Alligator mississippiensis: one gene and its partners. The protein of the gene in region 3 interacts with the protein of the main gene of each other region in a biochemical or structural test. Links are inferred from orthologs where the notes say so. Each region holds a gene or a part of one and is shown on either strand. Other genes may lie near its edges.

Region 1 (7,568 bases), about 33 Mb from region 3:
CTCAAGGTATCCCATGGAAAATGTCAGCTCTTAGTTTACTCTAGGTCTGTGACTACAGACAAATAATACAGCAATTCTGCTGCAAAGAACTCAGAAAGATCAGAACAAGTCGGAATGCTTTTGACTATGGATTCTTGTTTGAAAACTCTGGGTTTATCTTGTGAATCCTATTTGCACACCTAACACCTATTTGTACACCCTATGGCACCCTTGAATAAATCTTGTGGCACCCTGGTTGAGAATCACTGTATTAGATAAACATCAAGTCCCTGTAGGCCCCTGACAGATGTTCAGTTTAAGATGTGATGGAATGTAATCCTTGGTCCCAAGTTTAAAAATCCTGCTATGCCACACAGGCATGGCAGGACCGGTGATTTTGGGATGAGGGTTTTACTTACGGTTGCTTTACTTGCAGTTGCAGGTGGAGCCCAGGACAGTACATGACGTTTTGAGATGCCCTGGCCACATGTTCAATTTAAGGTAAAAACAAATGAGGCACAAAGGTATTCCACATATTCCATGAATAATTCCATTATGTGTGGAATACCTTTGTGGCTGACTTATTGCATTATCATGCCTTAAATTTATTGCATTATCACCAGGGCTTCTGGTTTCCTCAGTTTAAAAATCACAAATTCTCTTGATTAAAATCCTCAAATCCATGATTAAAATGCACCACCACTATATAGACAGGTATCAATTGAACACAATGCTTTACTGATATATTTACAATTTTTAAGCCATTTGAAAGCCTACCAGTGCCTCAATCACTATAATAAAATACATTCTAAGTATCTATAAATTTTGCTATTTGCTTCTGGGTTTTTTATCATGGAAAATCAGAGCTCCCCCTGCCCCTTTCACTCACTGAGATGCAGGTCAAGGCCACTTACTCCCAAGCCATAGCCCAACACCCCTGCCAGTGCCCCTCAATCCCCACCCACAGCCCCCTGGCCCTGCTGGTGCTCCTCAGTCCCTGCCCGCAGTCCCCCGTGCCCCCGAGCCCTGCTGGAGGGGGCCCCCAGCTGCCAGGGATATGGGGTCAGCCTCCAGTCTCCTGCAGCAGAACCCAAGCCTCAGTGGCTGCCTGCAAGAGGCAGTGGCTCCTGCAGCTTGAGCATAGAACAAAGCGTGGAGCCCAGCTCCCCATCCCCCATAGGAGGTATAGCTGAAGCAAAGCCTGTGGTGGGCGGATGCAGGCTGCCCACTGCAGGCTTGGGCTCCCTACTCTGCTGCCCTCCCCGTAAAGCCTCCACAGCCCAGTGGGCAGGACCCAGCACAGCAGCCCAGAGTGGGGACGGGAGGCTCAGTTCTTCCCATGAGAGCTCTGGGCCACCCTGGCAAGGCAACCCTGCCTGCCCAACAGCAATGAGGGGGCACAATCCCACACTACCACCCCCACTGCTGTTAGGTAGGCAGGGGCACCCCTCCAGGGCAGCATGGGGCTTCCAGTGGCAAGGAGCTTCCCCGCTTGGTCCCGTTCTGGTCCTGCCCACTGGGCTGTGGAGGCCCCAGTGGGGGGCAGAGGCGGGGGAGGACAGCAGGGCGGGGAGCCCAAGCCCATAGTGAGCAGCCCTCCCGTGTTCCTGCCCTGCAGATAAAACTGGGGAGCATGTGCTCCCTATGCCCCCCAGGAGTCAGCTGGGAGCCAGCCCTCCCACCCTCCGAATGAGCCTCCCACGTCTCCGTCCCACTCCCTGCCTAGACCCTGTGGCCACACATTCCAGTCCCAGGCCCCAAGCCACACAAACCGCCTGGACTGGGCAGCAGCCCTGCCCATCTCGCTTCCTCTGTATGAGGGCCTCAGTCTTCCCTTTCCCCCATACCAGATTTACCTGTGGAAGCTGCTCTCCAGGCTGTGTGCACATGGAGACCTATCTGACCGACCTCCTCTCATTCCTTCTGGCCCCTTGCAGGCTGGAACTCTGCCAGCCTGCATAGAGCTCTTTGCAGAAGTGCAAAATCTATGCATTTCTCTGTTAAAATGAAAATTCCATGTTTTTCTCCATCAAAAGAGAAAAGCTTCAGGTTTTTTTCTGTAGGAAATGGAAAACCTGGATCCCTGATTATCACACGTTGCTCAGGTGGCTGTATTAGTAGGTGCATTTAACCTGTTAAGGTTACCCTTAAATATGTTGGCCAGAGAATATGTTTTTGCTTACAGAGCCAACAAAATAGTTAATGATTCATGGTATAGGGATGTAAGTTATTAAACAACATTTCAACAGAAGATGCAGAAATAGTTATCAAAATCTTAATGAAACTAAGCAGAATCAATCTGTGAACATGAGTGACTCAATTTCTCATTTCAAGGTAGCTGAAACAGCAAGTACTGATGAAAGAGAACTAATCGGCAGGCAGAACATTTTTAAAACAAATTCTTCATATTTTATTTCCAAATATCAGGGGAATGCCTGAAATGAAGAGCTTAACTATGCATTTAATTTTCCAATTCAAAGCCAGTTCCTGTAAAAACAAATCAACACAGCACATATAAACATAAAGATAATATCACAGCAAACAAATAAACCCATGTCATTACTCTTTGGTTATTGAAACCAGAAATTGGCCTGAACCACAAAGATCCTGATAGGGCAACTGGATCCCTGTGGAGAAACCCTGGTGCTTTTGCCAGACTGCACTGAAGCCAACAGGGCTGTGAGGGAGCACGAGGAGCTGACAACATAGATCTGACTGCAGGATCAGGGCCAACGTCTGGATCTGTGGCTGCCTTCCTTAGGAGCTTGGATATGGAGCTTCAACCGGGCCCATTGTAAAAGTTGCTGCAAGTTTGAATTTAGAGCCTGGAACCTGCCTGAAGTTTGCCAGTGTTCACATTTGGGCCTCATCTCCCACTTGTTGGGTAGGAGCAGCTAGTGAGTTTTGTTACTGAGGTAGGGAGCAAAAATAAAACCTCCCTGATAATATAGAAACCTGAGGGCCTCTCTCCCTGTGCTAGTGCCTTAGACAAGAAGCCCTGAGTCATGCTGAATGCCTGTGGTGACCTGTTTACTGGGCCCTGTTTTGAAATAGCACCAAACCTTCAGTACATGACGCCAGGGTGCGAATTAAAGGGGAGCTGCGGGGGGGCGGGCCATAAGAGACAAGATTCTGCCTGTAAAATTTGAAAATCATAACCTGGGGGTGGGTCTCTAATCGGATTGCTCCTTCACTTAGGTGAACTTGTTAATCAATGAACTGGTTCAAATTTTTTTGCAGCTGCGCCAAGAATCAAAGTATCATTCAAACCCTGTGAGATGCTACAAAGCCGGTGCTGTCTGGGGGTGACAGCAACCTTGTTGCCCAGCCTCCCCATTTAGGTTCACCAAACTTCTGTTCTGTTCCAGATTTAAACCAGTTTGGCCTGGGATAGAAGTTTCATAAACTGGTTTGACCCCAATCAGTTAAGTCTGATACAACATTCCATTAGGTTTATCTTAAACCAGTTGCAGCCTTTTGAAACCGGTATTTGTGCACTGAGCTTCTATGCTGTTCCAGGTTCAAACCAGTTTCTGATCATTTTTTTAAAAATTATTTTGATTTTAAATTGTCCGTATTCCAAGCCAAATTAGCCAAAACAAATTCCAAATCCGAGAAGCAGTCCAGAAACATAAGTGGGCCTACTACCGGCAAACATTTTCCACCCCCATCTGAGGCTTCAGATGCTCTCAAATCCTTTGGCGGGCATCCTACGTGCAGGCCCAAGCCCAGAGGCTTGGGGTTCAGATGTCCCCAAGTTTTGCTTGCCCTTAGACATAAGGCCCCAGGAGCAAGCTAGGGTTAGCCATAAGGTTAGCCATACGGCCATAGCCATAAGGGTTAACCATAGGCTAGCCATAAGGCCCCAGGGGCAAGCTAGGGAGGAGTCTCTGTGTCACTTCTGTCCCTAGCTTTTGGGATCACTTAAACCAGTCCATGTGTCACTTCTGTCCCTAGCCCCCTTCCAAGTAGGGTGGCCATCACAGAGGCGAGTCGGGTTGTCCTCTGTCCTCTATTGATACGAAACCGAACACCTTTAGGTCCTCTTTTCTCTTGGACAGAAAAACAGAGGACCTAAAGGTGCTGGGTTTCGTATCCACAGAGGACAGAGCAGCAGAAAACCGGTCCCGCCTCGATGATGGCCACCCTACCTCCAAGCCAGCAGGGGTGAGAGGGAGGGAGGGTGGCAGCTGGGACGGGCAGGGTGCGACGGAGCTGGGGGGGTCCTAGCGGGGCAGGGCAGCGTCTCCCTGGAGCGGGGGGCAGAGATGCAGGGCCCTGCTGCTTGCTGTGCTATAGCACCTGTTGTGTCGCCAGTTGGCAGTCAAAGGCAGGGGGAGAGAGGGAGAGAGGCAAGAGGCCAGCGGCGGGAGCCCAGCCCTTTCCCCCTTTCCCATCTGCCGCCCGCGCGGCTCCCCCCGCGCCCCGGGCGCCCCGCCAGCAGCCCCCGGGGGGAGAGGCTGCAGCCAGGTGCCGCCCGCCCCCTGGAGGAAGGGGCTTGGCTTCTCCCCGCCCCCCGGCCTGGCTGGGCTCCGGCTCCCGCAGCTGACAGGTGCTCCTCGGAGTCCACGGCGGCTCCCTCCGCTCCGCCCTCCCACCCCCGCTGCCGCCGCCTTGGCCCCCGCGCGCGCCGGGCGCCCGCACCCGCCTCGCCTCGCCTCGCCTCGCCCGGCCCAGCCCCAGGCAGCGCCGCGCCGGGATTGTTTAGTTCTGGGGAAGCTGGTCGGGGTCCAGCGCTTGCTTTGATCCTTTCAGAGAGAGAGAGGGAGAGCGCGAGAGAGAGACCTGGAGGCGCGGAGACAAGGCTCTAGGAAAAAGTTTTTTGGATGGGATTATGCGGAAAGTACCCTGCCGTTCTCCGCTGCCCGAGCAGGCTCAGTGCTGCCTTCTCCCCCGCGGCGCAGCCCTCGGCCGGGGGTGGTGAGACAGCGGCGGGACCGGTCGCGGAGCTGCGAGTGCCCGGCGTGTGCGGTGCCGTCGCCCCCCCGGCAGCCCGATGCTGCTCTTCGGCGTCCTCCTGCTGACAGCTGCCCTGGCCGGGCCGGGCCCGCGGCGCGGGGCCCGAGCGGAGTCCAGCCTCAGCGCCAAGCTCCAGTTCGCCAGCGCCAAGGAGCACAACGGTGAGGCCCGGGGCAGAGAGAGACGCGGGCACGCACCCCCCACACGCCCGCACGGGCACCCGCGCGTGCACACCCGCATGGCCACCCCGCCCACACACACACACACACACACACACACACATGCGCGCGCGCATATACGCAGGTACCCCTGCGCAGACACACACGCACACACATGCAGACACATACACACCCTCATGTATACACAGGCTCCCGCGGGCAGACACACATGCAGACATATACACACGCATATACACAGGCACCCATGCACAGACACACATACACACACAGACCCACACACACATGCAGACACATACACACCATATATACACAGGCAGCCTTGGGCAGACACATGCACACACATGCACACACATATACACAGGCACCCATGCGCAGACACATACATACACACCTGCCCACACACACACACACACACACACACACACACACACACACACAAATGCACAGGCACCCACACACATGCAGACACATATACACAGGTACCCACATGCACTCATACACATACACACACATATATATACACACACACACAGACACCCACACACAGACAGACACCCCCCAACACAGATATCTATCTATCTATCTATCTATCTATCTATCTATCTATCTATCTGCATACACATACACAATCACATGCACACATGTACATATATACACACCCACACACAGACCCATACACACACATACATATATATACATACAGACACCCACACACAGGCATATACACACACACATACAAACACCCACATGCAGACACCCACACACAGATACACTCTCACACATATACACATACATATACATATACACACACAGACACATATGCACGTACACATGCACTATTCGTCTGCATGCAGTGGAGAGGAGAGTTGCAATTCACTTTGCAGCTTCCCAGGCAGGGCTGTCACTGAGCTTGGCTAATGTTATCCCAGCTGCAAAGTTGGTCCAATAAAAGCTAGCACCCTCACCCAGCCCTGGCCATGCTCTCAAGTGGAAGGGAAGCTTTAGCAAATATCCTTACAAATAGCATTGAAACTCACTACAAGGGGAAAGGGGCGGGGGGGAACTCTTCCTCGCCAGAGTGAGTCTTTAAGATCGAAGCCAAAATGAATGAGACTTGGCAGGTCTGACCCTGCTGTGTGTGTGTGTCACTCTAGGAAACTTGTCAGCCTGGTTAAGTGAAGCACTATAGGTAAAAGGGTACCCGTTAAAGAGCCAAAAGAGAGCAAAGAAAGACCTCCGTTCCCAGGCTGAGCTTTATTTTCTGGGTAGACTTTGAAATGTTTCTTCTTTTTGTTTTGTTGTGTTTTCTTTTTGTTTTTTAAACACACCTTGGTGCCCTCAGTCCTTAGGGCTCTGGGGGTAGGGCTTTTTTTTTTAGTGTGTGTTGGTGAATGAGCTCTATTTTGTATGGACTGGAAACGAGCTAATCCTGCCTAGGAAATGAGAATTACTTTCAGCTTTCAAGTGTACCTGAAATGTTTAGAAAACTCTCAAATGCAAGTTCCCTTGGGCTGGGATTGCGCGAAGCTGGAGAAAGGCTCCTTTCATGCAGCGAGGGCAGCTTCAGGGTGTGTAATTTGCTTAGCCTCTGAACTCCATATGATTTACATTATTCAGATTTTTTTTCAACGCCTTGTCTCTTGATCTGTGATTATGAAGTCATTTAAAGAATATTTTACCAGCAGAAATGTCCTGTGCCACATGAAACCACACTTAGTGCAGAATATCTAAAATGAGGTTATTAAGCACCCTCTTTTCCAGGGATGTATGCTAATGTAAGGGGGGAAAAATAGCAGCTTGCATGTCAGGTTAGAATGATGTTATTTCTTCCTAGACACAAACCAATGCAAAGACACAAGAAGAAAACTTCAAAAGTTTTGGTAGGTTCTAGATGACATACAGGCACCAACAACAACAATTTCAGGTTTAAAAACTGTCTCAATTCAACCCAAACTGTCAGGTTTGAACTTGGGATTCCCTTGGTATCTTTTGCAGTATGGTATCTTCTAATGCAAAGCAAATAAAGAAGTCAGAAGCTGTTTTCAGCCACTGTATGAATTAGTAGAATGTGTAGTGTGTTATCAAATTTAGCAGGGGAGATTAATATGCTGCTGCCTGCTAATGTGATGACATATGGCACCTGCAGACTGCCAGAGCTGCTGATCAAAGAGCAGCACAAGGATCAGTCTCTAATCAGAGTAACTGCAAAAGGCCAGGGGAAAGTGATCAAAAGAGTCAGAAACCCAGCTATTTTGACAGGAAACCAATCAGACTAACCTTTGTCCTCCCTGCAGGAAAATACCTACGGTGCAGGAGAACAGAAATCATTCCCACTCTCCCAGTGCATGTGGCTGTTAGAGGTTTTAGGACACCAAAGAATGACAAGCAAGACTTGGGACTAATAGTTTTATTGACATGGCACACATAAGGAGCATAGTGACAAGCTTGACA
Region 2 (7,584 bases), on a different chromosome or scaffold from region 3:
CCTTCCTCTCCCTTGGTTTTATTTTGGCTTGGCTGCAAGGAGAGAGATTGCAGCTGTTGAAAGGGTGGGGCCCGAAGTGTGCCAGCCCTTCCTCCTAGGTAGGTGAGGCACTGGAGTGGAGGGAACAGGGGGTGTCCCTCCACTGGCAGGGCAGTGAAATCTGCAGGATAACTCATAAGAGCAGGGAGAACAAAAGAAGAATTCTTTCCACAGGTTCCTGGTCAAAACAACCTGTGTTGGCTGCAGCCCAGCTCCCAGCTTTCCCTCTCTGCCAGGCTCACCTCTAGATTAACTCCCTCCTAGCTCTCACCCTTTGCCACTCTGCCTCTACCCTCTTTGATATACTAGGAGGGTTGTACTTTAGCATGCTGCGTGTGTCTGTACTCAGATGGATCTTGTTCTGAGTTGTCTGGGAAATAAATGCTGGGAACAGAATGGCAGTCCTCCTCCAGCCCTGCTCCTCCTCCTTTCCCTGCCTCTCCCAGACTGAAATGCTTTGCTGCTGCCAGCTCACCCGAATGAAGGAAAGGGCACCACAGATCCGGCTTGATTCCTACAGACCCTTTCTAATGATCCTCCCCTGCAGCTATACATTTCCAGCCACCCTGCTGCCTTTCTCCCACCTTTCTCCCTTCGTCCTGCCCCTTCGGAGGTGCTGTCTTTCTCGCACAGCACAAACACACACGAGCCACCCACACAGTGACATGCACATGGTCTGATTTCCCTCTTATACTGACACTGGACAGAACTAACTCCACCACAGGCAATAAGCCAGACCCTCAGCTCATGTAAGTCAACTTAGTGCTGTTAAAATGAATGAAGATGGCCCCCTTCCCCTGCTCCTATGAGATAGAGTTAAGGGTCTGTCCCAACTGAGTTAGACTGGGGTAAAACTGGTACAAGTGAGATCAGAGTCCAGCTCCCACAGGTATGCAGGGCAAGGTTATATACACAAACCTCTTGGAAAAAAATAGAACTAGGAAAGCAAAAGAAAGGACTTTGGCCCTTTAAGAACCCCACCTTCAAAAAAAAAAAAAATCTCTCTCCAGTCTCTGCAAATCCCTGCAATCTTCCCTTCTGCTTCCCTCTTGGGCATTTGTTCAGAACTGATATGAGGAGGTTGCTGCAGCTCATGGCCCAGACCAGCTGGAGAGCACACTGCTGCAGCCAGGGCTGGCATTGCACTGCAAGGACTCCTGGAGCTCCCAGCTTCCATTCAGCCTGACCTCCCATCATGGGGAAAACCATCAATCTTGAGCTACCAGAGCTCTTCCATTCACTCCATCTCCAGCAGCTCCCAAGACATACTGCAGGCTCCTTTCATTCAGCCTTCAGTACCCCTCCCTCCACGCAACAGGTTGTTGAGGTCCCCTCTTAAACTACCAGATAGGTTCAGCCTTGCTTTAATTCTGGCAAAACCCAGGCTCTGCGATTCTTCTCCCTGCTACTTGCATGCACAGATACACCCTGAGATTCCCTTGGATTGCATTTTTTTGGTTGGGGTGTGGTGGGAGGAGATACTGTGGGAAGGTACAAGCAGGTAGCCCTAAGCCTCAAGGTGGCAATTCATTAGCTACAAGGGCAAGGGGCAGTGGTGAAGCACTGCAGAGAAAAACAATCTGACTCAGGTTCATTTAGTTTAAAGAGCAAAACTCATAAATGCCAGAGAGATTGAAAAGCCGCAACTGCCCCACTTGTCCACAATGGGTGGGGATGGGGAATATACCCTGGAGTCAACACAGTTCTTCCACCCCCTCCCATTGCCCTTTACCTGTCAGGGTGTTGCTTATTCAAAATATGAATTCCCCCTTATTTGTTTGCTTGCCTCCTAAAAGCTAAGAGAAGTTAATTAAAATAACCATAAACGCACAAGTGTTCAGAGACACACTGAAACCTGTCAGAGAAACAAGCTAAAAGGAGTTCTCCTTCTCTCTCCTCTCTGTAGTCTTAATGCTGGGTCTAAAGTTTACAAGATATGGATTTGTCTCCCTCGTAAAAGAAAACGGGTCTTTACTCACCTCAGTGCTGATGAGAGGCAGGTACCAGAGACACACGAAGAGCACCCCGAAATTCATACCTACTCCTATCCCCAAGAGTTCCAGACACATTGAAGGGGAGACTTGACAAGAAATCAGTCTCCGCTGACAATCTAGTTCCAGCCTTGCCTCATGCATAGAAGGCTCTGCACACTCTCATTTCTACACTCCGAGTTATTTTCCACAATCTTGAAGTGGGGAGGAAAGGGTTAAAAAGAAACCCCCCTTTTTCCTCTAAAAAAAATAATTCTGTATGAGTTGTCTGTCCTTTTTTCTGTCTCATAAACCAGAAGGAGTATAGGAGCAGAGCATAAATAAAAAATGAATGCAGACCCCCAAAAATGTATGCATCCAGTCTGTATCCCCTCTTAGTGAAAGAAATCTTTCTGCATTTCTTTTTCTCAGGTGGTCCACCAGCTTGCTTTTTCCTTCTCAATTTCCTTTTTCTTTAAAAAAAAAAAAAAAGTCTTAAACAAGAAGGTAAAAATTATTTGCCATATTTTCCAAATATCAAAAACAAATTCACTAGTTCCTCTCCCAACAGAAAACTTTTCCAAAGTTTTATACAAAATCAGGTAACAAAGTCTTCTTCCTAAATTTGTACTTTTTTCCCTATAATCTTTTTCTTCTTCTGGTATATTTATTTTTAAAGAAATGCTGTTGTTGATTGTTTTTTCTGTCTAAGTTTGAACTTCTGGTCTTTGGTGCCTTTTCTTTCAAAATATTGTTGGCAGTTTGGTTGAATGTGAGCTCTGGTTTGGTTTTGCAAACAGGTGAGCAAATGTTTTTGCTGGACTCTGGGTGTGTGTTGAGTCTCGATAAGTCTCAAGCTCTGAGTGACTGCTGCTGCTGTCTCTTGCTCCCTGTTGCAACAAGAAAAAAAAGGTAAAATCAAATGGGAGGAGAGTGAGCTGCCGGGAAAGAGCTGGTGGGTCTTTATTTTAGTCTGCAAGAGAGAGAGAGAGAATAAGGTGCCACCCTTTCAGCTGTTCCTTCTTTTAAAGGAGAAGAAAGAGAAGGGGTGGAGACTGTTAGCAACTCCTCTCTTGGCTGTGTATCAAAGAGCAAGAAAAAAAAATATTCTAGTGAGTCAATTCAGAACTCACCGAAATGAAAAAGACCCTCAGTAAGAAACACAGGGAATGTGAATGTAGAGACAGAATTAATATCAAATAAGAAATGGAGAGAGAAAATCCTTCAGGATTGGTGGGGTGAGAAATAAGGAGAGAGGTATTCCAGCAAAGTCATGTTTGGCCCATGACTAAGACTTTCACTGCTGCCTGAGCACTTTTTTAAGCTTAACTTGTGATTTTCCCCACCCTGCTTTCTCTGGAGGGAGATATGGTTGTAATACCTTTGATCTCTTTACATGCACAAAAAGAAACATTCAGGAGTTGTTAGAACAGAATTTGTGTTGCTCCAGGCACTAAAATGTATTTTGCCACACAGTTATCTCCCCAATGTCATAAACATCCAAGGGGAAATGAAGCAAGCAGATATTTGCTGAGAAAAAGGGGGTCAAGTAGGAGGACTAGCTAACAGGTGAGCTCAAGACAGAGTCATCTCTTACCAGAGAATGTACCTGCACATGCCTTCTCATGTCCACAGAGGTGTTCTCTTCATGCACATAACAACATGCTGTTGACAACAGACACATCATGCACAGTCATAGGGTGTTTTTTGCACTTCACACACACACACCCCCATGCACTCTCCTGTGCATATAACCATAGATACTGACTTGCCTTCATATACACAAGTTTGCTCTTTCCTTCAATTAACCTAATCTGATGCAAAGATCACACACCTCCACAATGATAAGCAAACTCATTGCACTCATATAACCACAGACACCTATGTTTTGTCACTGACATACACGGTCACCTCTTCTCATACAACCCTCATATGTTTCCATATGCTATACACAGTCCATCACCCACAGACCTGCCCACACTACCCCATGCTCTTTTCTCTCTGACACAAAATCAGAGATGCACCTGTTTTGAGCCAAGTGCCTGTTTCTGCTGGAATTTCTCCAGCAGAAACATTATTTCAGTTTTAATACCCAAGGGATGTGCAGGCACTTCACATAGCAGAGAGCAGGACCCTGGTGGTGCAGTGAAAGCTCACAGGCACCGCCCCTGCTTTCTTCAGTGATGGTATGCACATAACTGTAATTGTTAAAACTCAATTCACTGAATTAGAATGCAATTCCTGATGTGTCCTGGGATCTTCTCTCCAAGCAGCAGCCAGCCCAGTATGACCCTTATGCAGTATGACTCAGTGGTCATCACAACACCTCCCAGCTTAGCTTTTTTGTACCCAATGGGCCTGATTTGGATCCCCTTCATGCTACACTGGGGTACATAAAAACAGAACCAGGCTCATTTCTACAGTGCTCACCTCTCTAATAATCACCCAACCACCTCCTCTGCTCCCTGCAGCAGATAAAAATGCAACTCACAGAAAATCTGACAGTCACATAGGCAGGCTAGACGAAGGGAGGTGCTTTTGCTGCTTTAATTCTGAATCAAGAAGCCAGTCTCTCTCTGGTTTAAAGTCAGCAGAGCTATGCAGTTACAACCACTGGGGAACCATCCCCAGGCATGGAGGAGGAGGGAAAAGGCTTGACATTGGTTTAAGAACCACCTCCTCCACCCCCAAAACTGAGATGGCAGATTCTGTTCTAACTGCTGAACAGAAGCGTTGGGAAGCAGTTATTTGATGTTAGTCTCCCATGTATTTCCACCTCCCCAAACTGTCACAGATCTTGAAGAACCTTCCCCTTAATCCCTCCAATTGCTTTAGTTACACATCCTCACATACACAGAGACACTTGGCATTTCTGATTCCTTCATTCTTTGGGCACGATCCATCTTAGCCTGGGCCACACCACATCAACCATCATCACAACATGTCCATATAGAGTCAGATCTGCAACTATGCTAAACTAGCTCCACTGACATCAACCAAGTTAGGCTGAATTACCCCAGCTGGGGACCTAGCCCATAAACCCTGCTGGCAGTCTTTATTTGCTTAGGACTGGAGCAGTACATGTACGGGAGGGTTATTTTAGCTGGTCAGAAATGAGATGCATCAGTCAAGGTGAGTGGGGATCAGAACTATTGTAGCAGAGGGTCCTGCAGTTTTGCTGGGTGACAGTGGAAAATGCCGGATGAGGTTAGAGTCTGCTTTTCTATTTCCGGCTCAATTATGTATGTGCTTGGATGGAAATACAGTTATTTATTTTGATGTGGATGATGCTGGGCAATTTTTAGAAGCTCAGCTTCAGAAAAAAACATAGCTAGTCCCCATTGAAGCCTGTGGACAAGGAAGAGGATGTTTGTAACTTGACTACTCATCTACCTATGACCCCAGCTGGAAAGAGCAAAGCAGGATTTAGAGTGAGTAGGATTTCAGACACTTTTCCTTTACTCTTTCTGTTTTTGAAACAGGAAGAGATTTTTCTCTCTTATGAAAAAAATCTTTTAAAAGTATTAGAGCAAATTCAGATTCAACGCAAATGGGTACCACTCCACTGAACTCAATATTATTCAGCTCCACAGAGCTGCTTATGCTTAAGCTTAAGCTAGCTATGCATATGGCTGGTTCTGTGTCCTTTCTTTCAGTGCCTCTCTGAAATGGGGTCTTCAGGTCTGTAGTAATGTCATTTTGCTGTATCATCACCTCACAGTGTTTTGCTGCTGCACTGTCATTGCTTATTGTATGGCAGCAGGGACGAGGTTTGGTTGTGCTATAATGATAGCGAGCCAAAACATCATCATACAGCATCATGGCTTGATGAGGCAATGTCATAGCCTCAGAATGGCTCAAGGGATCCCATTACACAGACCACAAACCTGAAGGGATAGGAGCCCCTTGGGGTTTCCTAGCTTGGAATCTTAATAATGAAGGATTGATTAGAAAAGTTTTTCCCTGCCTTTAACCAGTGAATAATTATATTATCCTCATGGCATTCATTGTCTTATTATTGGGAGCTGGGTTAACAGGTGAATAAATGTCTGCAGACAATCTATATTCCCTATCACTTGGCTTTTCACCCTTCAACTTAAACACTGTCCAAAAAAAACCCCTCCGCTAGCCAGAGACCGAGGCCAGATGCAGACATTACACGTTTACCGGTATAAGTGATCGGAAACCGGTAACAGAAGTTCAGCACACGTAGACTCATTGGCGGTGCATAGGGGGTGCACATGGGTGCATGTGCACCCCCTGAGATGGGCTGTGCACCCCCTGGAAGTGCCAGCCGCAAAACCAGAAGTGCACTTCTGGTTTTGCTGCTGGCTTGGCGATTGGCTGCTGGGGGGGCCCCCGTCAGTGATCTGCTGCCCCCCCAGACTCAGGAGGCACCAGTCGCCCATGTGTAGACTGGTTTAAAAATAGCAGAACCTGATCTAAGATTTGCATCCCCACCACAAAGGGCAGATGTGTGTCCTGGTCACTACTGATCTAAACTACACTGCTTGCAGAAAACTGCATGCCTTAGATTGATTCTGCCTTGGGCTTTTTTAATGTCTGTACCTAGCCCACATGTGCAAAGTAGGAGTACTAATAACTTTTTCAAGCAGTTTTTAGGAATGAAAGCAAAATTCAGCTGAGAAAGAAGAGCAATACTGAGTCTGAATGGTAGAATCAATCACTGAATAACAACAGTATTAGCAGAGCCTGAAAGTCAGGATGGGGGGTGCCCCAGTAGAGCTGAGCGGGACTGCAAAGACTGCAGGACCAGGCCTTTGGTGCGTTGGTAGAGTTGTCTGAGGAGCACAGCCTGGGAAAGCAGAGGCTGTTGCAGGGGAGCAGTACTCATTAGCAATGGTGCAGGTGAGGACACTGGCAAAACTGGAACATGGTGGGTGGGGAACAAAGGGCACAAACAGCCTAATTCAGGTTCAAGATACCTTAGCAAAGTTTGGTTTGTTAAGAGTCACTAGGACGGAAACAGCAGGTAGTCATATACTACTATTGCACATGGGCAGATTCGCCTCTGGTGTAACTCCCCTGACTTCAGTCAAACCACAGCTAAGAATGAATTTGGTCTCAAATAATGTTTTATGATTAGTTTAGGCCAGAGGCCAAGTCCAAGTTCACATCAGTGTTATACCCATTAAACTCTGCTGGCTTCGGGTTTACCGTAATACAAGTGAGCCTAGAATCAGGTCCCAAATATGTGATTTACGCTGCTATTTATGTAATTTGGCCCAGAGACTTCCATGGGAGTTGCACCCACTTCCTGAAGGCTGAATTTAGTCTAAAGGAGAAAGAAACGAGGAAAGGGGAAGAGAAAATGAAGGAAGGAGACAGAGACAGGGTGGGGAGCATTGTCATTTATAAATACATTACTGAAGGACAGAACAAAAGGTGTTCAGGATTTGCATCTTCTATCTCTGTGCTGAACTCCAGGAACTAAGAGAACGAAGGGGTGTCTGGGGTCTCAGGTATTAAATAAAACCCTCACAGAACAACAGCATGCAGAGAGAGAGAGGGATGCCGCTTACGGAGTCTGTGCCTGTGATGAACTGCCAGGCTT
Region 3 (6,932 bases):
GCCCAGTGTTGTTTGGGTTGCTAAATCCTAAATTTTTGTGTAGTTGTAATTTTTCTTAAAACTGTTTCCAAGTTTTGGAGAAAAATTCTCTTTGTTGAAGCCATTGTTTGTCTGGGGGCATGTCCAACATGCAGAGCAAGGAAACTCGTTGGAAAAGAATTTTCTGCTTCTAGATCAGATTTTGTTAGGTCTGTGTTGTGTCAGGGCTGACGGTCTTCTTAAGTAGTTTAGATTATGGAGGGTATAGGGTGGTTGGGATAGCGATGATCCGGCCTGAGGCAGGGGGGTTGCACTAGGTGACCTCTGGAGGGCCCTTCCAGCCCTAATGCTCTATGATTTTATGATCATTTTGAAAAACCCTATCATTGGGATTCAGACAAAATATGAACCTTGCAGGCTTTGATTTCTGACCTCCTGTCTGGTCAGGCTCTGTGCTTCTTCCCACTGGCTTGGTAGGAAACTCTGAGGGAATCTTCTTCTCCGGGATTCAGCACTGGTGCCCCGGGGGAGCTGTGCTGGCAGATGCTGTGGCAGGCTCGAAGCCCTAAGACTGGTTGCATATGCATGAGTTGGGACAAGAGCCACAGGCTTGATTCCTCGTCATCACTACGGCGCAGTGCTCCCGTCAGCTCCACTGAAATGAAGCCGGGGCCAGGTTCAGCCTCACCGCAGCAAGGGCACAGGATCCGGCCCGCGAGGAGCGAGCCGCGTGGGGCGAGCCCGGCAGAGCCCGCGGCGCAGCCGCCGAATGAAACCAGCTGCAGGCTCCGGGGAGCGGCTGGCGGCTCCCTCCTGCGGCGGCCAGGGGGCAGCACAGCCCGCGCTCCGGCCGGCCCGAGGGAGACTCCGCCGCTGCCTTGCCCTTGGGAAACCGCTGTCTGGCACCCGGCAGCCTCTCCTCTCCTCTCCTCTCCGCCCCGCCACATCACACGGGCAGCAGCCGCCTCGGCAGCTCTGCCCCCCGCCTGCCCTCGGGAGCCGCCTCAGCCGAGAGCCTGCTCCAGCCACCTCCAGCCCCTCGGCCTGCACCAGGGAGCCTGACTTTGCTCTTAGGACCCCCTGGGAAACGCACAGCCCGGGGGGGTGGCTCAGCCTCCCACCGCGGAGACAACCAGATGCGGGATCCCTTCGCTCACGGATCCTTCCGGGGGGTCCTTCTTTGAGATGAGATGACCCCCTGGGCGGGATCCGGGCGCTGGGCAGCGAGGTCACAAGTCAGGGGCCAAATAGTTTCTTCCCCGCCCAGAGCCACTCGCACATGTGGACCGGACCGGACCGGATCTGGGGGAGGAAATGGGACGAAACCAGCGGGGTCTCTCGATGTTGAATGGGGTGCGGCCGAAATCACGCAGAAAGCTTAGGCAGCTTAAAGAAAGAGCAGCGCCGGCCGTGAATGGGAAGCACCCGAGGGGCTGCTCTCCACCCTGGTCTGCCTGCAACAAGGACCCGAAGTGAGCAGCTGGGAGGTGGGGGTCTGCCCCGGGACGGCTCAGCTCGGGAAGGCACGGGCATGGGGGCTCCTCCACCTCTGGATGTTACGAAGCCGGGCAGCTGGGAGGGGGAGGAGGGTGTTGACATTCACCCCTTCAAAGCCCCTGTCCTGGGTTTTTGAATGTCTCCAGAGCACGGACTGGCCCTTGGGAAGTGAAGCCCTGGCAGGCGCTGGTGTCCCGAAGCGGGGAAAGCGTGGGGGGATGATCCGAGAGGGGGGGGGGGGGGGGCGTCCAGCAGCAATAGCAACATCCAGCCTCGGAGTTGTTTTCCTAGGAAACAATAGGGGAGCCCTTGCCAAATTGAAGCAACATTTTTTTATGCGGGTTAGCCAGAAAAAGAAAAGAAAGAAGGAGAGGAGAGGAGAGGAGAGGAGAGGAGAGGAGGACCCGCTATTATTTCCTCCCTGGGGACTGAAATGCTGTCCAGGCTCGGATTGCCCTCTTCCCCGGGCAGGGCTCGGCTGCCCCACGGAGCAGAGGGCAGGGGTCCGCCTCGTCTGTGCCCTGGGGGGAGCCCGGGCGGGGCCGGGGGGAGCGGGAAGGATCCCTCGGGGCGACGGCGCGGCCGGGAGCCGAGCGAGTGCCCGGAGCCGCCCGTGGCCGCCCCCGCCCCGGGGACGTGGCTCTGCCCGCTGGGCGCCGCGGCTGCTGCCCGCGCTGGCCGGGCGGGGACGAGCCCCAAGGGATCCCGGGCCGGCGGGAGGAGCCGCGCCGCGGGGGCCGGGGTCTGGCGCTGCCGGAGCCCCCCGGGGCTGAGCAACGCCGCCGCAACCCCAGGAGCCATTTCCTCGCTCTCCCCGGACCCTGCCGAGGGGTCCTGACCGCATCCGCGCCGACGCCGGCCCGGGAGGGACGAGGCTGCGGGGCCCCCGGAGCTGTGGGGGCAGGTCTGAGGGGCCGCCGTACCCAGAGATCGGGACCATTTGGTCCTGCTGCGGAGGGCACCGGGAGTAGCAGCCAGGCTATGCCCCGCGGTCGCTTGTCCCGGCCCCCCGAGCCCGACCCAGCTCCCCGGGAGCCGCGACGTGTGTCCGCCAGTCTCTGCCGCTCCACCGCGGCCGCCCGCAGCGCGGGGCAATCCCCGTCCCTGCGCAGATCCCCGCTCCCGCCCCGGTCTCCATCCTGCCGCCCGCCCCCTCCCAGCAGCTCCCCGGGAGCTGAGATGTGCCCTCGCCGCCTCCCCGGCGCTCCCAGGTGAGCCGCCCCAGGGACTGCACAACCGCTGGCTCTGTCCCCCACACCCCCCGCGACTTGATGGCCTGCATCGGAAGGGACTGCTGTGCTTCGCCTCCCCCTGCTCCCAAGCGGCCCCTGGAGAAGGCGAGGCGATGGGGGACCGTCCCACCCAGCCCGTACCTGCTCCTGGCTCCGCGGACCCGCGCCGCCAGCCCTACGCGCGGAGTCCCAAATCCTTCCACGTCCTTGGTGGCTTCTCCTCCTCCCCCTAGATCCGACTGGGACGGGCTCAGAAACCGCGCCTCGTCATTGATCCAGCGCTCGAGTCCATCCTTCCAAAACTAATCATTTGCTTTAAGTAAATAGCTGTCAGGAAACGAAGCCCCCCCTCCCCTCCCCTCCGGCCCCTTCAGAATAAGAGCCGCCCTCCCGCGCCCCGCGCCTGCGGCCCCGCCGCCTGCAGCCTGCGTGCGGGGGGGGGGCTCTTGTGCAAGCAGGGGAGCCACTCGCCGCCTGCAGACTCCACCAGCCCCGGACTGGGCCGGGGGGGCAAAGGGGGGGGAGTTTAGCCATATGGCAAGGGAGCGTGTATGGGGGGGGAGGGGGCGAGGAGAGCTGTGCACTGCAGGGAGGGGGAAACAAAGTTTCTTTAAAGCCCCAAGTGTTCCCCGTGTCATGAACGAGCTCTCCTCCTCGGCCACGCACTCGGGGAAGGTGTGCCAGATGCCCGGACGTGTGTCCATCCTCCCCATGTAAGTCTCGGGATGAAAAGCTGAGCTGGAAATGAATGTCACGCCGTCTTTTCGACCCGACTGGGCTCAGGGCTCAGCGCACAAAGCCGCATGGCAGCGTCTTAGCCAGAAGCAGCAGGCACTGAGCCGCAGCCGAGTGAGCAATAGTTATGAATGAAAGAAACCGCGAAAGGTAACGCTAGGGAAAAAAACCCAACAACAACAACAACAAAAAGCCCGCTGCTTTCCGACAACCGGGAGGCTTGGGATGGTCTCGGCACGAGATCGGGGAACCCTGTCTAGACGACGTCTCCACAATTTTGAATTGATCTTGTGAATCCGGCTTTCTGGACAGGGCTTTGATCACCCGGCGGGAGATAAAAGTATCTCTGCCTTGCTGATTGTTGCTGCGTGCTGGAGACAGGGAGGGGTGGTGAGCGCCGAGGGGTATCTGTGCTGGGGGAGTGAGACGGGCTCTTTTCCGTGCGGTGTCTTTGCAGCGGTCGTGGGAGAGGGGGCACTGCAGCCTCAGGAAAGGAGGCTGAGACGCGTCCGACTGGCCCCTCTCGGGACGCGTAGGGCACCGGGCCGGACGCGCCTGGGCGCTGGGAAGGGGGTTCTCGAAGAAGAGGAGGTTACAGTGGTTCCCCCTCTTCTTGTCTGCATCCTCTGCCTGCTTTCCCCTTCCCCCGCGTAGTGCCTGCGTGCATCCCCCTTCCCTTCCTTTCTAAGCAAAACTTTGTTCTCAAAGTCAAGCAGCAGGCTCCAGAGGCTCCATCTCTCCCAGACTAAGGAGAATTAGTCTCTGAAGCGAAAATGCCCCCGAAGGGAAATGAGGAAGGCTGTGAAAGGCAGGCAGCGAAAGCATGGGCCAGCCGAGTCCCCGTGGCTGGGCTGGCAGGGTCCCCCCTGCCTGGGCTCAGTTGATCACATTGCCTGCAGCCTTCTGCAGCCTTAATACATCTTCAGCTTGAGTGAGTGCACAACCTCACTATTGCTTCCACATGTTCCTTCAGGAAATCATTGGAAGCAGATATATGAACAGCCCCTTGTTCGGAATGCTAACAGGATACCGTAATGCTTGTAAATAAATAACAGGCTCCCATGGATTGGAAGTAAGGGTAAGGGGCAGTGGAGGGTACACTCATCTTGCAATTTTTTACCTGACAGGTAAATAAATACATAAGTTTGATCGTTTAAAGTGGTGGTGACGAGAGAGAGAATGAGGAGACAAGGCTCTCAGGAAATCGAAAGGTGCTTTAAGATGTTTGAAATGCAAATGGACTTCAAATTTTGAAACAAAGTTAGGGTATCAGTCAGGGGCTGCCAGGAGCTAGCGTGGAGTGGGTTTGCAGGCTGGCTTCACTTTCGTTGCCTTGATTTGTGCACGGATAGGCCGAGTGACGCTGTAAAGGGACCTTTGATGGAGTACTTTCGTGATCAGATGTGACGGGAGACCCATTCTAGGACAAACAAAAAAAATGAAGCAGAAGAGGAAAAAAAAAACAAAAAAGAAAACAAAAAAAAGCTCCTTCTGGTTGTAATTACCTGCCTAATTTGAATAATGCCTTTGTCATGATCATTAACAAACAATCGCTAAAGGCTTCCATGTGGGAGATCAGATCACAGGGCTGAACAACAAAGCGAACCTCCTTGGAGTGCAGGTCTGGGGAGGTGTAGGTTGTAGCCGTGTTGGTCTGGGGAGGTGGCTGCCTCGCAGGCCTCCATCCCCGGCGGGACGCACGCTCCGGGCATGGTCCCCAGCCCCGGGCCGGGACAGCAGCAGGGCTGCCCTCGTCTCGGCTGACCGGGCCCGGCGCGAACATGCTTGGGGAGCGGGAGCAATTGTTAATCACTCGACCTTTCCTGCCTCTGCTCCTGGCCCAGCGCAGGGATTGGTACCTGAAAAGTGATGACATTAGCAGCCCTTTATCTCCAGTCCCGAGTCACCTCATTAATTAACCGGGGGAGCTGTCTCCAGGCCCCTCTGTGTCAATCACCCTGCAGGGCTTCGCCGGGGGGGAGAGCCAGGAGCCCTCTCCATGCTGTTGTTGTAAGATCCGACGAGATTATTGCACGGAGAGAGGAGCAACGCTGTCCTGTGTGGTCCCGCGCTTGGAAACAGGGCGAGAAATCTCCGCGTTTACAAGGCTGCGTGTTTATTTTTGTACCTCCCGAGGTATCTGCCGGGCAGAGAGCAAAGGGAGATGCACACCAGATGTGCCTTCGGGTGGAGAGCCCCGCTCTCCCCAGTTCCCAGCACAGCTGACTCTTGGCCATTTGCTGGGAGAGAGACCCCACTGTGCTCACGTCCCAGCCCCCTCCAGCCTCCTCCTTCCTGAGTTCAGAAACAGGCTTTGCAAACGGATCCTGTCGCGGTGCTGGCGGTGGAGAAGGTGGCACTCCATACCACTGTCACATGCCAGCACCCCGGGGGTGGCCCGTGTGCGGGGGTCTGGCTTGGGGGAAGGGGTTGGAGGGGGGGCGGGGGGAACCTGGTGGGCTAAGAAGCCCTGCCTTACACGGCACCCCACATCTGGATAGTTTTACCACTTTTCTTCCAGAAAAGCTTGGTGGTTGTGGCTTTGCCAGAGCCAGCAGCTCTTAAGGATGATGTCTTAAAACAAACAGCTCTCTCCTAAGCTAGATGCTTCAGCAAGATGTATTCCTGTGTGCGCTGTTTCCCAGATGGCTTCCGTGACCAGTTGTCTTCTCCCAACCCCAGCGAAGGGCAGCTAGGCAAGGCAGGAGGCACCTGAGCTGCTTGTGTTTGCGTGGGACAAACCCGAGTGCCTGGGCTCTGGGTGCAAAAGCAAGCACTTCAGTGGGATGGTTTAGGAACATCTGGGAAGGGGGTGGGGCTGGGCAACCCTTGAGGTCCCTGCCAACCCTGAGACTGTATGTGACAGTGGGGCCAAGCGGGTCTCTTCTATCCCAAGCTGTTACAGGGCTCCCTTTTCAGGCTCTTCCAGAACAGGCAGCCTGAAGCATACGGCGCTGTGCTGGGGGGAGGGAGGGCTGTTTATGTGGCACGCAGATGCGAGCTCCACATCTCCAACCAGTCCCAGCTGAAACAAGACAGAGCCTGGTGTTGACACCTCAGCCCTTCCCCGCGCGCTGACTGCAAGGCCCAGCTGGGAGGGAGGCTCCAGGGCTGCTGTGGGGAGCGGGCCTGGCTCCCTGGGGAGAAGGGGGGAGCTCTGCTGGGAGGAACCGCGCTTCCGCCTCTCTGGGGCTGCTCATTACAGTCTGCAACGCGCGGCTGTTTATTGGGCCGGGCCGGGAGCCTCAACCTGCCCCCCTCGCCCCTGCAGCGCTATTGGCCTCGGGAGAAGAAACAATTTGCTGGAAGTAATGACCCCTTTCCTGCCTCTCCCGAGGGTGCGATGGACTCGGGTTAAGTAGCTGAGGACACAAGGCGGGCGAAGAGTCCGTTCCTTCGGGCTTCTCCAGATGCCGTCGCAGGGAGGGAGCCTTTGTCTTGCTTGGCGGAGGCCTGCTTTTAATTATGGCAACCCCTGCTCAGGCATTT
Region 4 (7,438 bases), on a different chromosome or scaffold from region 3:
CTACAAACTCTTGCTCGGAAGAGTAATCCACGGTACTTGAGTTCCCCCCCTGAGTTTACGAGCCCTACTCACTCAGGAAAGCACTGGCACGAACATGCACTACAACGAGTAGTAGTAAAAACAACAAAAAAATGGAAACTGTCTTGTACAAATCCGTTAAAACTGCAGTTGTTACCTAACAGATGCGTTATACTGCAAGAAAGGCAATCCTCCGCTTTCCAAAATATTTTCTTTGCAGCACTAGCTATCAGATATCTGACTTTTTTTCCTCTAGCTCAAGCTAATCTTACAATGCTCTAAACAGGCCCAAGCCTTTATTGCCAAAGGAGACTAGCTGAATCCAGTTTTTTAATTGATTGTATTTTTATGGCAATAAGAAGTCAGGGGAGTAAGGATTACTTATGAAAGTAAAGCTTGCCAGACTGATATATTTAAGCATAAACTGAGATAGCCATTGACTATGTTCCCAGTAGGGATCAATATTGGAACTACTACTTAGAAGAGGGCTTTGCAAGGACTAATCGCAGGAGGAACATGGCAAGACTGGACCTTTCCATTTTATTTTTAATTCTATAAAACAATAATTTTTCACATTCAGCTTTTAAAGGACATTTGTTTCCTGCTTCTCTGCCACTTGCTGAACCAGTGCGTTGCAGTAAAGGGCCAGAATGAAATAATTATTTACCTAGTGGCGAACAGCAAGCATGAACAAAATTCAGTTCGTTTCCTACAGTAATCTTCTCTGATCTGCCACCTTCTCTAATTTATTCAACTGGCACACCATTGCTTGTCAGTTTGCCTCTAGACACGGAACCGTGTGAACTTTTGCTTTCGTCGTAAGTGGTATTTAAAAATGAAGCACTTGTTTGTTATGCTGAAGTATCCGGACATACTATATTCTGGGAGGTACAAAATACTGCCTCAAAGATACCGGAAATAGAGAATAGGGAAAATTCACCCGCCCTTATTTCTCCAGCAGCCAACATACAAATTTCTTGGGCCCTGGTGCACGTGCACGGTACAGACTGCAGTTTAGAGCAGGCTAATATGCATTACGCACATTCAATTCAGGGTTTTGTCCCTGCCTGAAAGCTTCCTTAATCCCAACTTCTGTTTCTAAAAGTATCAACCCAATGCATATCAAGCTAGTAATTAGTAATGAGCCTTTATGGCAAAGTACCCTGAAAGACAGGAGCATTTTAATTTTCACTGTAATGAGACACCAGTTACAACATAATTACATAAAAATTAAGAGCTCTATCAGTAAGCTATGTTTCCCATACATTTCTGTTCACTAATACTTCACCTAACAAGAAGGCAAGCGAGTCAATCAAGACCTGGTAGCACTGAATGATAATGATTTAAACAGCACATATTTCAGAGAAAAAAATGCATAGCATAAGATTTTTTTTTTTAAAGGAGATGCCCCATACCGCTGTGAGCAAGACTCCTTGATTTTTCTCACAAAAGACACGGCTCTACCAAAGATGCTGTTTCCTTCTTCCACAAACTAACAGAAGGAACCACCAAAAGCAAAGGGCAACAACCCAACCTTAATGACACCCATTCAATGCTGCCATGATGCTGAGATCTTTATACCAGGGGGTAGAGCACTGGTGAACCGCACATTCTCCCTCCATTGCTTTGCATGCTTAACCAGGCAGAAAATAACCTTGTGCTATTTTCCTTTGAATAAGGGCGGTATTTGTCAAGGGTAAGCACCCGAGGAAGGGTCCTGGTTAAGATCAGAATGGACAGTTTATTTTCCTTTTAATAAACCCCAGGTCTTGAAAAAGACATGACTTCATTCATAAACATTGTTTCAAATATCTCAAATGCCTCTAGGACAGTAGTTTATAGAGAGCCAAGCCGGAGAAGAACAACAAGAAAGGTTCGGGAAATTCTTCTTTGCTGAGAAATTAAGAGGTCTGGAGCTATAAAGGTCAGGGAGTTAAAACTCAAAGAGTTTCTTTCACCATCTGCTTGTCTGACTCCTGAGCCTGACCTGGGAGTGGATTCTTGTCTGGAGGTAACTGAGGAATTGCTGCCCTTGGTCTGCATCTCTCCCAGCCCTGGTTTGGCTGGAGGGGGGCACACCTGCGGGTCCCTGCTCTGGATCCCGAGCCCTGCGCTAGATCCGTCTGGTAGGAAAGGGCGACTGGAGGGTTCAGACCCGGCGGACACGTGCTGATCGGCGCGGCCCCAGGTGCCAGCAGCGGCATACCAGGCAAGGAAGGAAGGAAAGAGAATAATTTACCTACGGAATCAATCTCCAGGAGGCGCTGCAAGTCGCGGATGCTGTGGATCTCGCTGTGCGCCAGCCTCTCGATGAGCTCCTGGGGGATCTCAGCCTCCTTCAAACAGACCAGACACCCAATCACGGTCCCGGGCCAGCACCTGCGGAGCCCCCGCTCCCTCCTCCCCGGGGCCAGCAGCACGGCTGCGAGCCCTGCGCCTCCCGGCCGGGCTCCGGGGCGCTCGGCGCTGCACGCCGGCTGCCTCCTGCAGCCTGCGCCCCCGAGCAACCGCGGGCTGGTTGCTCACCCCCCACCCCCCAAATACATAATAAATAAAGAAAAAGAAAAATCCCTTGCATCTCCCCCCCTTCCTCCCTCCCTCCTCGGCAGCACGTACCTCCGAGAAGGCAAAGGCCAGGTAGGCAAACCCTAGCAGCAAGGCGCCAGCCCAGGTCCTCATCGCGCGGCGGCGGCTCCAGCCGCGGCGGGGCTCAGCACCATCCCTCGGCGCCCGGGCGGGATGCGTTTGTACGGTCCCTAGTGCGGACTAGTCCCGCCGCATGCGGGCGGCGCCCGGCGGGAGCCCATCACCTGCGCGGCCCCCGCGCTGCAAAGCCACCCGCGCTCCTGCCGGCGGGGAGATGGATGCCCCCTTCCTGCCTCCTTCCAGGGGGGGTCGGAGCCAGGCGGCTGCGTCTCCACCGTGCACCGGGCTGGGGGGGGTTGCTCCGGAGTGGAGTGGGAAATAATCCCGAGGAGGGGAATATAGCGGCGCCTCCCCCTGCGCCTCCCTCCGGCACTCCCTCGCTGGCTGCCTCCCTCCCTCCCCCTCCGCGGCCGGGCGCTCCGCGGACCGCCGCAAACAACACGTCGCGGGGGGCTGGCTTCTTCCTGCGGCAGCGCCGGGGCGGGGGGACCCTGCACCGCCCCGCGCCAGCCGGGCTGGGCTCGGGGGAGCGGGGATCTGATTGCAGCCGGCGGGCCGGCACCTCTGCGGCACGGGCGAGGGAGGGCGAGGGGGTGGGAGCTTCTGCGCAGATCAGGCTGCAACCTGAAGGCATCCACCTTGCCTCGCCGGGAAGGCACCGGGCATCGCCATGATTTGGGCGAGTCCTGGCTGGCTGGCGCTGGGGGGACACATATGCACCCCGTGCATGTCCGTGTGCATGCAGATTGCAGTCCAAGGGGCGTCTCGGGCGAGGGCTGCGGCAGGGAAAGGGGGGCAGAGTTTTTTTTCCTGCTTTCCAACAAGTTGGGGGTGCGGGGGATTGCGCACAAGGGCGATTGCGATGTCCCGGGGTGCGCCTGGCACATGAGCCCGGGCTCCCCGGGACTCGGCGCTGGCTTCCCCGGAGCGGCCGGCCAGGGCTGCGGCTTACACAACCGGTGCCCGAGTGAGCGACGCTCCCGGCTGCTGCCCGCTGAGCGCCTCGCCCTCCGGGCCGGGCAGGCGAGACCCCCGCCCCGCCCCGCCCCGCCCCGCGCTGCGCTGCGGATGGGCACGAGGTGCCCGCGAGCCCCTGCCCTCGCCCGGCACTCGTTGTCACTCGGACAGCGGCAGCCTTTTCTCCTCCAGACAAAGCGCCTTAATCGCGGGAGCAAAGAATCCAGCTCATCTGCAAATCCAGGGGCATTTAAGTGGATTAACTGCAATAACACAAGTGAGGAGGGATAACTATCCTGCGGGGAAGACAATAGCCTGTAAATGCACAGCCAGGGAGACTTAGCCTTTCATCTCCGAGCCTCCCCCCAACCCAGCATTTCAAAAGGGAAGGCTTGCTAGAAGCCCCGAAGGGCTTTACAAGCTCCCGGCTTGGGCATGCTTCGAGGAAACAACCTGCGCTTTAATGGGCGCTTTGCAATTGCAGAGAAGTTTCCCACCGAAACGCAGAGCTGGGCTTTCAAGTGCAGTTTACTGCTCTCTCATCATGTCACGCAGGCTTGCAGGGTGGTCTTGAGGAAGAGGGGGAAGGAGCTGAAACGACTGGGGCTTTGAAGAAATTGGAGTGGCAGCCCTCCGGCCAGGGTGCCCCCACCTCCAAAGGTCTTGCGTGAGAAGGGAGCCGGGTGCCAGCTGCTGAGCACGCAGCTAGGGCACCCCTGGCCGGGGAGAGGTGGGTGGTTACCATCCCCTCTTGGAGGGCCAGGGAGGGAAGGGAGATATCACACAAGCAAGGAAGTGGTGACTTCAGTTTGAAACCGGCTGACCTGTTCTAATCAGTCTCTGGGGTTAAACCCAAAAGGCACCTCTGGTCAAGGTTGCCATAGCAATGATAATAAAAAACAAAGATGCCTCTAAGAAGGTTATGCTGTTCCTGACAATACAAATCTCATTGAGCAATTATTCCTCCCACTCATTGGTTCATTGGCTCATGTTTATCTAGAAGTAGACTTGGCTGGCTACTCAGTGGTAACTCCTTCAAGGAGAGACCTCTAATCAAACCAACATTCAGGATCATTTTCGCTGCTATCTCTTAAGAGGAAACCTTTGCTTGGTTTTGCCTCTACTTCATTCTAGGAGGAATAGACTGCATCGGCATGTTTTTTACATCTATCATTGCTGCCATCAGCTGGGCATCTCTCCTCTGGATCACATTACACTTGGAGCAGTCTTTAACAGGAGACTGTTTATATCATTCCTTGCAAAATATTTGATAATGAGGCAAACTATGTAAGAGTCCAAAGATCAGAGCGACTGAATTAAATTCACACTAAACTCCTGCCTATAGCTTTGTTCTCTTTGATCATTTGTTTCCCTCCTTGCAAAACAAATGTTGTATTTGGAAAGCCTTCCCTATAAGATCTTTTTGTTGCATAGAGAAAAAACTTCTACAAGCACACCAGGATTCTTTCATATGAAGAATGCCATGCAAGTCCAATAAATGGGATAGTGCGTCTGCCTGGTATCTTCCGTGCAGTATACAAGTTTCGTATACAAGTATGCGAAACACTGGCTTTTTATGTAATACCTATATCCACTTATACAAAGGGAGGGATGGTGAAGAAGTTTAAATATTTTAAGTTTAATCTTTTAGTTGAAAAGATGAGGGAGAATGACAAGACTGGTGAATTAAGGAGAACACATTTTTGTCTAGGCAATTAAAAAGCTGCTGTATGTACTTAAGAAAACATCAGAGTTATGGATTCTATTTGGGGATAAAGATCATCTTCAGAGTGTGTATAAACACCTTGGTCAATGAAGTCCTGGTTCGTGCCTGGGCTCAGTACAAATAATAAAGTGAAATCATCCTTAGATAACAGCATCGTTTTCCAAAGGACCTGTACATGAAGTCCTAGGCCTACAGTGGCCCAAATTAGCACCTTTCCAGTCCAGCACCATTTGCAAGCATCCTTTTAGATCTGCTCCGGCTCAGTTGGCATAAACAAGGTTAGGTCAGGCAGTATAATGGAACCAACTCATGTTTCAAAAGAGTGTGCCCTAACATAGTGAGGGAGGGCAAGCAGCTGGGAAGGTTGCTGGAAAGGAAGTAGTCTCAAGGGCCTGAGGGGGCAGCAGGAAAAGCTGCAGTGGGTAGAAGGAGTGTGAAGGAAAGCATCGCTGGGGTCAGAAAAAGTTAGCAAGAGAAGAGAAAAACAAGTGCAAATGAAGCCCTGGAGTCAGGGGAGGGAACCAGGCCAGTTTTACATGGTCCCTCCAATTGCCAGCCACTGTTCTCGTAATCTGATTTCTACGCTGGCATTTCTGAGTCCCTGGCAAGCATTAACAAATGACTGTTAAGTGTCCAGTGCAAGTCTACACGTTTGTAATGCTGTTAGCATGAAACGGGATCCTGCAGAACTTTGCCGGGTGGTTGATTTCAGTTGGGGATTGGCTTCTTCCCTAATCACATTACAATGAATCCAAACAGGATTCCCAGGTGTTTCCTTTTTGTGACTGGCCTGTTTGCTTTCCCGGGCCCTTGATCCTACCAAAGGTGGTTGGTACATAGCAGATGCAAATGCCCTTACAGCAGAAAGCATGGTAGTTCCAGAAATCAACTGCAAAAAGCACGTTCAGGGACTGGCTTCTCATGTCTTTCAGTCTACAATATTAATGACATGGTGAGAGAATCTGAAAAATAAAATCTAGGAAGTCTCATCGGCCAGTGACTCTAAACAAGGAGTACATTTTAAAAGAAGCTCATCTGCTTCTTCAAGGTTGGACTTCTTCCCTTTAACACACACTTCTTTGGCCCGTACTTGTTCATTTCCCTACCTATGCGTTCATAGCTTGTATCTTCCAAATCAGCACCTGTAGATTTTGGCCTGCAGAAATGAATTGCAGGTGGGGATCAGCTTATCATTTTGCTCTGTTAACTACCCGACTGGTATCTGCAGTCAGATAAAGGTACAAGCACACCCTATTTGTGAACTCAGATGTGGACAAAAAATCAATTATTATGTCTGGAAATAGTTATTCTTCCGCTCTCAGCCCTTCCTTTTGGATTTTTTTTTTTTTTTTGGCTCATTCAGTCTGAACTAAGCTCTGTTCTCTTCATAACGTTTTGCGCAGCTCTCCAGGTACGTTCCTAGGAAACTGGTACCTAGAACAATCATAGACACAAATCAATTAAAATGCTTTGGGTAGGTACAGTGATCCGAAAGCAGTCCCTTGCCCTCTCCAGTAACCCATGCAATGAGCAAATAGAGCAGCAGTCCTGGAAAACCTGTTCCTGCTTGCTCTTTAAGGCAGAGCCTTTATGGAGACAGATTGCTGTCTTTTCCAATGGACTGGGATGAGTGTTGAGAGCCCAGTCCTGTTCCCATTAAAATCAGGGGGAGTTTTGGCCTAGACTTCAATATGTACAACATCACACCCTCCTTGCACAGAATCTGGGGGCGGGGGCAAGGGAATTAATAATAGATCAACATTTCCACCCTGCAGAAAGACTTAAGGCATTCTTAGCAATGTTTTCCTTCATTTTCCCTCTAAACTGCCCTTACACACTGGGTTCAGCAAGACAGCCTGAAATGAGGGGTGTTTGCCCTTCACTATTTCTAAACTGACTGAGAGGAGGCACTACAGGGTGACACAAAGTTCACCTTCAGGACAGAGCGTATGAACTGGCAGTGCTGCCAACCTGGACAGTGAGATACCATGTTTAGGCATTAAACCAAGGCACTTGCATACCAGGAGAGAACGCTATTTTAGTGGTATATTAAGCTGCTCCCTTCTCTCCTCCTCTGTGGAACAATGGAAT

What was found.
Region 1: the proteins of PDGFRA (region 3) and PDGFC form a complex in vitro, tested with the Homo sapiens proteins (2 studies listed by BioGRID and IntAct, with this or other methods). The link is inferred for Alligator mississippiensis from reciprocal best matches to the Homo sapiens genes PDGFRA and PDGFC.
Region 2: the proteins of PDGFRA (region 3) and PDGFB form a complex in vitro, tested with the Homo sapiens proteins (3 studies listed by BioGRID). The link is inferred for Alligator mississippiensis from reciprocal best matches to the Homo sapiens genes PDGFRA and PDGFB.
Region 4: the proteins of PDGFRA (region 3) and PDGFA form a complex in vitro, tested with the Homo sapiens proteins (2 studies listed by BioGRID). The link is inferred for Alligator mississippiensis from reciprocal best matches to the Homo sapiens genes PDGFRA and PDGFA.

The regions. Positions count from the first base shown.
Region 1 is NC_081825.1:92,511,405-92,518,972, forward strand, and holds the start of PDGFC (platelet-derived growth factor C), read left to right. Parts: upstream 1-4,547; 5' UTR 4,548-4,975; coding exon 4,976-5,099; intron 5,100-7,568. UniProt on the Homo sapiens protein: Growth factor that plays an essential role in the regulation of embryonic development, cell proliferation, cell migration, survival and chemotaxis. Potent mitogen and chemoattractant for cells of mesenchymal origin.
Region 2 is NC_081827.1:99,161,662-99,169,245, reverse strand, and holds the start of PDGFB (platelet-derived growth factor subunit B), read right to left. Parts: upstream 3,017-7,584; 5' UTR 2,175-3,016; coding exon 2,019-2,174; intron 1-2,018. UniProt on the Homo sapiens protein: Growth factor that plays an essential role in the regulation of embryonic development, cell proliferation, cell migration, survival and chemotaxis. Potent mitogen for cells of mesenchymal origin.
Region 3 is NC_081825.1:59,716,704-59,723,635, reverse strand, and holds the start of PDGFRA (platelet-derived growth factor receptor alpha), read right to left. Parts: upstream 3,015-6,932; 5' UTR 2,850-3,014; intron 1-2,849. UniProt on the Homo sapiens protein: Tyrosine-protein kinase that acts as a cell-surface receptor for PDGFA, PDGFB and PDGFC and plays an essential role in the regulation of embryonic development, cell proliferation, survival and chemotaxis.
Region 4 is NC_081836.1:49,243,077-49,250,514, forward strand, and holds the start of PDGFA (platelet-derived growth factor subunit A), read right to left. Parts: upstream 3,006-7,438; 5' UTR 2,698-3,005; coding exon 2,635-2,697; intron 2,355-2,634; coding exon 2,258-2,354; intron 1-2,257.